2 linked regions of the Daphnia pulex genome follow. The protein of the gene in region 1 purifies or fractionates together with the protein of each later gene. This does not show direct contact. Links are inferred from orthologs where the notes say so. Each region holds a gene or a part of one and is shown on either strand. Other genes may lie near its edges.

Region 1 (4,673 bases):
GATCATCTTGAGTAGAAAAAAATAAATCAAGGTCATTTAGACCCACTAGCGATTACGCACCAGGGATTTAGATAAGGTGCATGCAAAATTGACAAGTATGTTCAACACAAATAGGAAAGCAAGCCGATAACAAAATGAGGAAAAAAAGTAGAGATCTGGTTTAAAAAAGAGATAAGAAACTTGGGTATCTTTTCGAGCAACGTATAACATGTAACAATTTTATCCAGTCTTTTTATTTGGTCATGAATAGATCGGCTTTGCGTTTGCATGTCTTGTGCTGCATTGGGCCTCACTTGATAGCAGCATTTATTTCACTTCGTTACGATATCAAATCATGGTATGATACTATTTCAGCAACATCTGTCGTTCTCACAACCTTTGTTGTGTTCTCAACCAACAAATTTTTCTTCCGCGGCACAACCCATATTGCGTGTGTCCTTCTTGGAGTCGTCAGGTAAAAAAAATCAATAAAAAAAATTCTCCTTTTGTCAATGTTCAAACTCAAATACAGTAATTCTGTCTTAGTCATGAAGTTTCACGGCAGTCTCGCAGCACTGATTGGAATCGACTGGCCAATCCTGAAATTCTTGGTTTCTATTTGTGTATGGCACACGTGACTAAAGGTAATCACTACCGATATTTAAAAATTTTATGTGCTTATTGCAACCCACTCTACTACCAGGGATAGCCACTTTCATCAAATTGATGCCAACGGCAAGCGTCGTTAGCTGTCCTTCAAAATACGTTGCTAGTTGGAGAGATTATGTCGGTTTCAGCATGTCCATAATTTCCAGCTGCTATTTTTTACAGGAACCTAACATTTATCGCAACGAAAAGGTTTCTATCCTACTTCTGATCAGTCACTAAATCGGAATAACGTTGTTTTTCTTTGATCAGAGAATGATCGCGTGGAGACTGACTTTCGCCAAAATTGAAACACTCCATTGGGCCGGACTAGCTCTGAGTGCATCAACCAATTTTGAACGCTATGGATGGCTCCTAATTTTGTTTACTTCACTTCAATCGCTACTAGCTTTTAGTTTCTTCTATCAATTACAAAAACTAGATCCGATGTGAATACTGTAAATTAATACTAAGAGACGTGGGCCAAAACATTTACCTGCGATAAGAGTTCGAAGCAATACGAATCAGAGATCCGTGAATTAACGTAGCCGGCATCGTGATTTATAGCATCGGTTCCAGTTAAAGTGTCATTTTGTTGTTCCAATTGTAGCAAAGCATCCCATTCTTCTTTCAACCGAACGGTTTCCCGCTGAATGCCATGCAATATGTGAGTGCACACTTGGCGTTGCAAGTGAGTCAACTTCTTGCCGCTGAACAATATTCCAACCTGTTCAAACAAATTCATAATAATAAATATACTGAGCATATTTAAATAGCACAAAAAAAAAATTGAAACAGTAGATATTGCCATACCATGTGCTCTTTCAAATCAATATCCCGAGTCCTTTCAGCTATTTCTCCATCCATTTCATCTTCATTGGGTCCACGATCGGTAGAACGTGAAGGAGAGGCATCTCCCTCGTTTAAAATCAGCCGACCGAAGACCTGGAAAATAAGAAATTGCAACGTAATTAGTGTTATGTTAACTAAACTCACGAATCGTAGGTCAACTTTTCAAAACAAATACCTGTGAGGTCAATAAACGAAACACTCGCAGTGTTTCCGTCTCGCACGTTCGTTGATGAATGGCTAAAGCGTTGAAGGACCGAGAGATACCTCCACCCAGCAAGCGAACTTGACGAATGCGAAGCGAGTTATCGGGCCCTTTCAACTCAAGCTGGATGATCTGGAAGTTGATTTCTATAGTAAAGAAATGATTCAAATCATGATTTAATTCCTAATGGCGACAATTCAAATAAAACGCATACGAGGTAGGGAAGTATGAAGCCACCCAGAAAATCGAGTTTCTACTTCTAAGACGTCCACGATTTGCAGCTCTTCTCCATTTGGTCCGGCTTTGAAAGTCACTCCAGAAACTTTGTTCTAAGAAAAGAATAAATAACATGATAATTAAAGAGGATTTTACGAGGATTTAATAAAAATCTATAAAAACTAAGAAATGGATAACTCACCCCCATATCTCGACTGTTATCGACATATAAACAAACAATGCGTGGTGGAAATCCAGCCGTTTCAGGACAAACTTGGATGGTTATGAGTTTCATTTTACCCCGGTCCTCGTCGCCTGATTCCCAGAAGGTTTCGGTCGAGCCATCAGTCAAACTATTTACCATGGCAGTGCGGCTAGACACCTTAATGTCTATTCCCTCTGTGACTTCAGTCAACATCGTCACATGCCCAGCTGAATGAATTGCAGTATTTTCTAATGCTTCGATATCGACAGTTGCTTCCTCTTCACAACGCGAAAGAATTCGACTGATGTTGCTAAATACGTGGCTCCTAGGTGCACGAAAAAAGACAAATCATTAAGAAACGGACAGCTTTCTACATATTAATTCATCAGTTTTTAACTCACTTGTGAAGAAATGCGTGATCGGTTTGCTTGAATCGAATGTCCCAACAACGGACGGCCATCGCAAGTAGAGGTGTGCCCATCGGGAGTAGTTGCATCAGATTAGATACCGTTTGTAGAAGACCGTGAAACGACTGCAGTAGCGGCGATAATCCTTCTCCAGCTAAACTGACGTCTGAAGTTGGATGCTGTCCTACTAAGTTGTCTTTGCTTGTCGATCCATCAGCTCCCCCAGTCTCCACTTTGTTGTTGGCTGTTTCCAGAGACGGAGCAAGTGACGATACTAACCACCAGAGAAGATCATGCAAGCACACTGGCTGAGTGACGTTTTGCAGGAGCCACGACAAATTCTAATGGATAAACAATATAACATAATGATTTTCCAAGTGATAAGACTTTATCAAGTGATGACACACCTCCATTGCAAAGACACGGCAAGAGGCTTTTCGCAACGCCAGCTCCATGGAAGTCCGAAGAGAGTCAAGATCATGTCGCTGAGCAACAAAATCTAAAACCGGCAATGTCGATTGTGTTGCCGCATGGTCATGAGATCCGGACATTAACTTAACGGTATCTTGGAGAGCTTTGGAGGGTGAACGCAAAAGCGCTAAACCTCCGTCGATTCCTTGTTCATCAGCGCTGCTGGTTCGTCTCCTCTGCGATACTCCAGTGATGGAACCGTCCGGCTCTTGAGATGATCTCAGATGTTGGGCAAGTGGCTGTGTAATCATAGAGACCGATCGATGTAACTGCCTGCCGAACCCATCGCAACTTTCTTTTATTCCTCGACAAGGATCCATCTTTTGAAATAGAAAACTGTCAAACACAAAATCATTAAACTTATCACTTGATATGTAATACTTCAAAGGAATTTTCCACTTCTCCATCGCCGAAATTAACTTCGTTGTTGGACAGCTGAGGGCTGCATCCCGATTTAAGAACGGGAAGACATTGAAATTGAAGCCAAGGGAAAATATCACCTGACGCTTGGTATCCACTCTAGAAATGGGACAAAGAAAAATTAGTAAATAATAATCTGCTTTAAAAACGAAATCGAAACAGCAACACTGCAAAGATTTTCACCTTGGAAGGTGGGGCTGAAATCTTTCTGTTTGACAAATCCTTGTCAATTTCGGAGACTGAACTAAGTGACGGCTGATGCATTAGGCTCCTTCTTCTTCGTTCCAGTATTTGTTGATTCTTTTCAGGACTGGACGACGTAGCTAGTTGCAATAAGAAAAGAGCGTTGTCTTTGAGAATGACGTGTGTCTCCAATGGTGTTGAGGGTCTTAACAGTTGGGTCGTGGGTGTGGTAGTTGAAGTGATTGATACTTTTCTTCTCAATCGCTTGCCCTTGTCATCTTTAAGGCCGAATGCTTCACCCACTTGTCTCCTCTGTTGCAAGTACCGATGTCGACAATCCTCGCACAATAAGTACCACGAACTTCCCTATAAGACCAACACAAAAATAAGCTAGAATTAATTTCCATATCAACTGAGGAATCCAATTTGGATCTAACCTGAATGCCTCCTTCGCCACAATTTCCTACCCAGCCCCCGCAGTACTGTCCGTCGGGGTTGTAACCCAATCCAAGGGCTGGCTTCTGACAGCCTGGATGAGCTTGTCTCATGTGAGCGGTTACAGGCACGGCAAACAATCCGCCGCATAGTTCACAGTTAGATTCCGGTCGGATGCTCTCTCTACGGGACTTGCGTTTTCGCTCTTTATCGCGTGCATCTCTGTTTTCAGTTTTCGGTTTAGCCTTGGACACGCTCTCATTCTGGAACTGGGCGACACTGAGCGTCGAGGATGAAGCCGTCGGCTCAGACTGTATCAACTCAACACAACGCCCGCTCATCTTTTCCCAAAGTTCGACCAGGAGGCTAAGTGTTGGAGTTAAAGACGATGCCACTTTGTTGTCAGGAACATCCGGTTGTATCTGATGATTGCTTGCCGATTCCCCTCGTTCCGTGTTCCAACTCTCTTCTAACGCTACCGGCAGTGGAGATGCAAACGGCCCTGATAGCATATTAGTAGAAAAGATTTCGACCGAGTGCCGTTGGCGCGCTTTCTCCTCTCGTGTCTTGCGATGTCGAGGATCTCCGCGCAGTGGTACAATCGGGTCCACTTGCTTGGGTAAATTGGGATGAAACTTCAAGAAGGAAGCGCAAGCCA
Region 2 (4,606 bases), on another chromosome or scaffold:
ATGACGTAATCCTTTGCCTCCTTTGTCTACCTTACGCCGTTTACTATTAAAAATGAGTTTACTCATAAAACTACTCATTTGAAAAATAAAATGAAAAGTTACCTCTCAGAACCATGTTCATGGTCAGGATCTTGCCTTTTTCGTGAACCACTGTGATCAAGAATTGGGGAAATGAAGTTTTTGCCCTGTTGTTGTTGCTGATTTAAGCGTTGAGGAGTGCTCAACACAACAGGCACTACTGGTAACTGTACAGCAGTGTTTTTGTTACTCGGAGTAGATCCATTTCCTGATGATAATGGTATGGCTAGTATCTGTCCAGCTGCCACTTGTCCACGAGGTCCAGGTGCTCTTGTCACTCTGCCAAGTGACTGCAACATCTGAGGTGTGGCAGCCAAAACGGTTCCCTAAACAAATTTTCAGCCAACATTGTTAACATCTTTTACATTTTATTCAAGCACATCCTTGACTTACATTAGATCGCAGAACAGCTCTAACTGCTCCAGAAGCCATGGACACTGGAACACCTTTTCCAGCAGTGGCATGCACCACTTTTATCATTTGTGGCTGACCTGGAATGCAAACAACCATCATTTTATTATCTTGTTGAAAAGAATGAGATAATTTCTTAGTCTAGACTTTGACATACCATTTGCATCTTGGATCCAAATGTTGGTGATGTTTCCAGTTGGGGTTGACTGTGCCATCTCCTTAACCTCTTGTAAATTTATTTATATTATTTAACTGTAAAGAGAAGAGATCAAGGAAGATCCAATGTGCTGACAATGTTTTGTCAAACAAGCATCTTTGGTGGGTGGGACCAAAAGTATGATCAACTGAGCGCCGTTATAATTCGAACTTCCTGTCAAATTACAGATATCATCAAATTTCATATAGAACTATGATAGAATCTAAATAGACTAAAATGGAAATTCCCCGTATTTATTCCTCCAAATGATTTCAGAACACGATGAGCGAAATGGCGCCCAAAACGCCATCACCAGTCGATACCCCACACCGGTAAGTTTTCCCCCTTATTTTAAGATTTTTGCAGACATCTTCACTTAAACTTTCCAAGCTCAATGACAAATAGTATCCTCCTTTATTATCTAATTCACTTTATGAATAAAAAATAAAAATCCCCTCAATCCAAAACAAAAGAGACAATAGGGTTTACCTAAGGTTCTGGGCCAACTTTATACGATCGTCACTAGACACACACTGCTGTAGCATCAGCAGGCAGCTAGGCAAAAATGCACGAGGGGGTGATGATGGCACAGCAGGCCAACGGCTTAGTTTTTATTATATTTTTTTTTTCTTTATTTTTTCGTCCGGGGGGTTTACTGAGTGAGCGTCTTATATGTACGTCATATGAGACTGGGATTCAATTCAATTCTAACTTCTCCATGAGTTCGCTTTCTATCTATCGCAATTTGCAATGAAAAAAAAATCGATACTTTCAACGGGCAGAAATTCGAAATTCAAACAAACTCGTGACCTTGGGTCGTTGGGTGAGAACAAAAATATGAACAAATGATTTTCGATTTTCCTTGCTCGTTTAATTTCTCCTTTTCTCTTTTTCAAATATTCATGTAAAATACTAAGTAGCGCTAAAACATGAAGGAGAAAGAGGAAATTAATTAAGCGCAGGCAAGTGTTCAGCGATTTCGTTATTTTATTTTATTAATTTCTGAAATATATTTTTTTTATTTCGCTCTTTTAAATTGGTCTATTTTTTTAATTTGGCTGTTAATACAGTTATCGTAATAAATGTATCGTAATAACTAAGTGCTAATTTGATTAATTTCATGGGAAAAGCGTTAAATTTTTATTGAAATCGAGCATGAATATGAATGAAATCATAAATCAGAAGGCTAAGTAAAATCAAACGTCGTCTGCTTTTCCGGATACGCGGGAACCATTTCAAACATAAACTAAAATATTATTTTATCTTAAAAACTAGTAAAAAAGTAGTTTGATATTAATATATCGTTTTTTCACAGGTGTAATTCAGTGTTTTATCAAGTTGTTTAGATTCTCATAATTTTTGTTCGGTTTTCTTATTTCAGATCAATTGCTATGGCAATGTGGCAACACCGGTTCTGCCATAGAAGTATTGTCAATTGCAGAAAAAATCGAAAGAAATTTCCTAAATGAATGTTGAAGTGTTTGCGAGCCGGCGTTTAGAATGCACGTGGATATACTACCAGATATTATACTAGGAAATATTTTCTCATATTTGCCGCTGCAGGATTTAAGAAGCAGTTCGTTGGTGTGCAAACGGTGGTACAGGTACAAGTTTTCTTGAAATCAACACCAGTTTGTGACTATTCGCTAGTGATCTACCGTTGCTAACAAAACCAGCGATTGTTTGAAACTTATGTTCTCCTTGCACATTATTATTTGAATCAGTATACTGAATGATGAGGACAATGATGTCTGGAGACTGCACTGCATACGAAAACTGGCAGAAGAAGTCCTGAGCTCAGACCTCCTATCTTCCGCTCCTACCTACAAAACAAAATTAAAAGCATTTCACCATGCTTGGAACCCAGAAGACTGCTCTAGAAACATTTATATCAAACCCAATGGTTTTACCATACACAGAAACCCTGTTGCACAGAGTACAGATGCTGTGAGAGGTAAAATTGGTGAGTACTAAATATTGTAGATGCCTGTTGCAAGTGTACATATTAATCCATTCAACTAATGTTTGTGCAGGATTCAGTCAAGGTAGGCATGCCTGGGAAGTGATGTGGGAAGGTCCTCTTGGAACAGTTGCAGTTGTTGGAATTGCAACTAAAGAAGCAACTCTCCAGGTATAATTGTGTTAAAATTTGAATATTTTATCTAAAAATAATTGTCAAAATCCATGTTCACAGACACATGGATACATAGCTTTACTAGGATCAGATGACCAAAGTTGGGGTTGGAATTTGGTTGATAATCATTTACTTCATAATGGAGATTCCCAAGGCAATTACCCAATGCTGAACAATGCACCTAAATACCAAGTGATTGAGTCTAACCAATGAATGAGTTGAATCAACCTAACCTAAAGTTTTGTTGCAGGTTGGGGAGCGGATACGAGTCATTCTTGACTGTGATGACAATACATTAGCTTTCGAAAGAAACTATGAATTCCTCGGAGTGGCGTTTAGGGGCTTACCAGAGAAGCTCTTATACCCTTCGGTGTCGGCAGTCTATGGGCACACAGAAGTCTCAATGGTCTACCTGGGTCCTCCCTTGGATGGCTAACTGTCGCCTGTCCCCCTCTCCTAAACAGAAAATTTCTTTGTGTGAATCAATTTCTACAGGCAAATGCGTTTTGCCAACCAAGAAAGGATGTTGTTGTAAAAGAATCCCAAAATTCAGTGTACAAAGGTTGCGTTGGGAATACCGCTCTGACTTAAAACATTCCCGTATTTTCCCATTCTTCATTTATTTATTATTTTTTTTTTTTTCATGATTTCCCTGGTGTGTGTCAGATTATTGTAGTGTGTTACAATTCAAATTTCGTGTGGTTGTGTTTTCACGTTCAACCGAAAACCAACAAATGGTTAATCGTCCGGTCTGACTGCTACTTGCGAAATAGATTTGTATAACTTAAAATTTCCCTGTGTATGTTTGTATGACTTGGGACTGGTGATGATGCTAAAGAATAACTGAACCTCTTACTGCCCAAAGTTTGGCGTTTTGAATAAAAAAATCTAATTCGTGTTTAATTACTCGAATAAATGAAAAATGACTTGTCTACACTGCCTTTATTTAATTTTATAAATAAGCATTATTCAAACACTTAAAGGTGTTAACCAATGAGTAAGGAATCAGGTTTTCTAAGTACTCCTACATTTACCATCGTATACGAATGGATTCGATCGTTTAGGTTTTTTCTAGCCTCATTACTACTTCATGTGTGATTTTTTCTCTTCTAACGCTTCTAACTGAGAAATGTACTGATGGGCACTTGGATCCTAGATTTCTAGCAACATATTGGTCAAAAACTGTCTTGAAGGTCAAACAAAAAAGTTTGTTTAACTGTATTTCCATTACGCTCATCAAATCGAACGACGATCGAGTAAAGGCTTTAATGGTTTTTCGCATGTTGAATTAATCAAAGCGCAAAAGCAATATCATTCCAAAAATAGGTCAAAATCAAAGAAAGTTTCGTCCCCTCTTTTATGGTTTATTGTGTACGTTGACCTTCATCAACCTCATAAAGCGAAGTGTAAGTGTCATGTACCACCGGAATTTTCAGTTCTATTCGATTCACAAGCAAAGACAGCTGGTCATTTCCTCCCCATTTTCAATTTCTATTTGTACATCGCCTTAGGGGTTCCAAACCCTAAGGTAGGTGGATTGGATATTCTATTGTGTGACCAACAAAACACGTTTTCCGTCGATTTACTTTCGACCAAAAAAAAAAAAAAATCCTTGTGACGGGAATTCTGTTGCGCTGCCCAATGGCAATCCGCAAGAAAGGACAACATTGAATGCCTCTACCATCTAGCGTCAAAAATGAAGAGCGGTTCAAACAGGAAGAGTTTTCTGAATTAAATAATCACGCACTCGATAATCGGAGGCGTGTATTCATTGCCATAAATGAATG

Evidence for each region. The genes of interacting proteins can lie anywhere in the genome.
Region 2: the proteins of E3 ubiquitin-protein ligase MYCBP2-like (region 1) and F-box/SPRY domain-containing protein 1-like purify together in Caenorhabditis elegans (affinity purification with western blotting; 3 studies listed by BioGRID). This does not show direct contact. The link is inferred for Daphnia pulex from reciprocal best matches to the Caenorhabditis elegans genes rpm-1 and fsn-1.

Annotation. Positions count from the first base shown.
Region 1 is NC_060019.1:11,808,408-11,813,080, forward strand, and holds part of E3 ubiquitin-protein ligase MYCBP2-like, read right to left. Parts: coding exon 4,018-4,673; intron 3,947-4,017; coding exon 3,581-3,946; intron 3,497-3,580; coding exon 3,359-3,496; intron 3,298-3,358; coding exon 2,914-3,297; intron 2,848-2,913; coding exon 2,501-2,847; intron 2,425-2,500; coding exon 2,097-2,424; intron 2,008-2,096; coding exon 1,893-2,007; intron 1,825-1,892; coding exon 1,652-1,824; intron 1,570-1,651; coding exon 1,438-1,569; intron 1,352-1,437; coding exon 1,121-1,351; exon of another isoform or gene 1,078-1,120; coding exon of another isoform or gene 898-1,077; intron 838-897; coding exon of another isoform or gene 683-837; intron 624-682; coding exon of another isoform or gene 526-623; intron 455-525; coding exon of another isoform or gene 243-454; exon of another isoform or gene 182-242; intron 1-181. Other genes in the region: uncharacterized protein LOC124191239, read left to right, coding at 243-454, 526-623, 683-837, 898-1,077.
Region 2 is NC_060023.1:5,715,715-5,720,320, reverse strand, and holds F-box/SPRY domain-containing protein 1-like, read left to right. Parts: upstream 1-2,089; 5' UTR 2,090-2,185; coding exon 2,186-2,289; intron 2,290-2,409; coding exon 2,410-2,648; intron 2,649-2,718; coding exon 2,719-2,816; intron 2,817-2,879; coding exon 2,880-3,011; intron 3,012-3,069; coding exon 3,070-3,255; 3' UTR 3,256-3,753; downstream 3,754-4,606. Other genes in the region: transcription factor Dp-1-like, read right to left, coding at 1-43, 103-404, 472-569, 647-704. UniProt on the Caenorhabditis elegans protein: Component of a SCF (SKP1-CUL1-F-box protein) E3 ubiquitin ligase complex which is required for the restriction and/or maturation of synapses in GABAergic neuromuscular junction (NMJ) presynaptic neurons.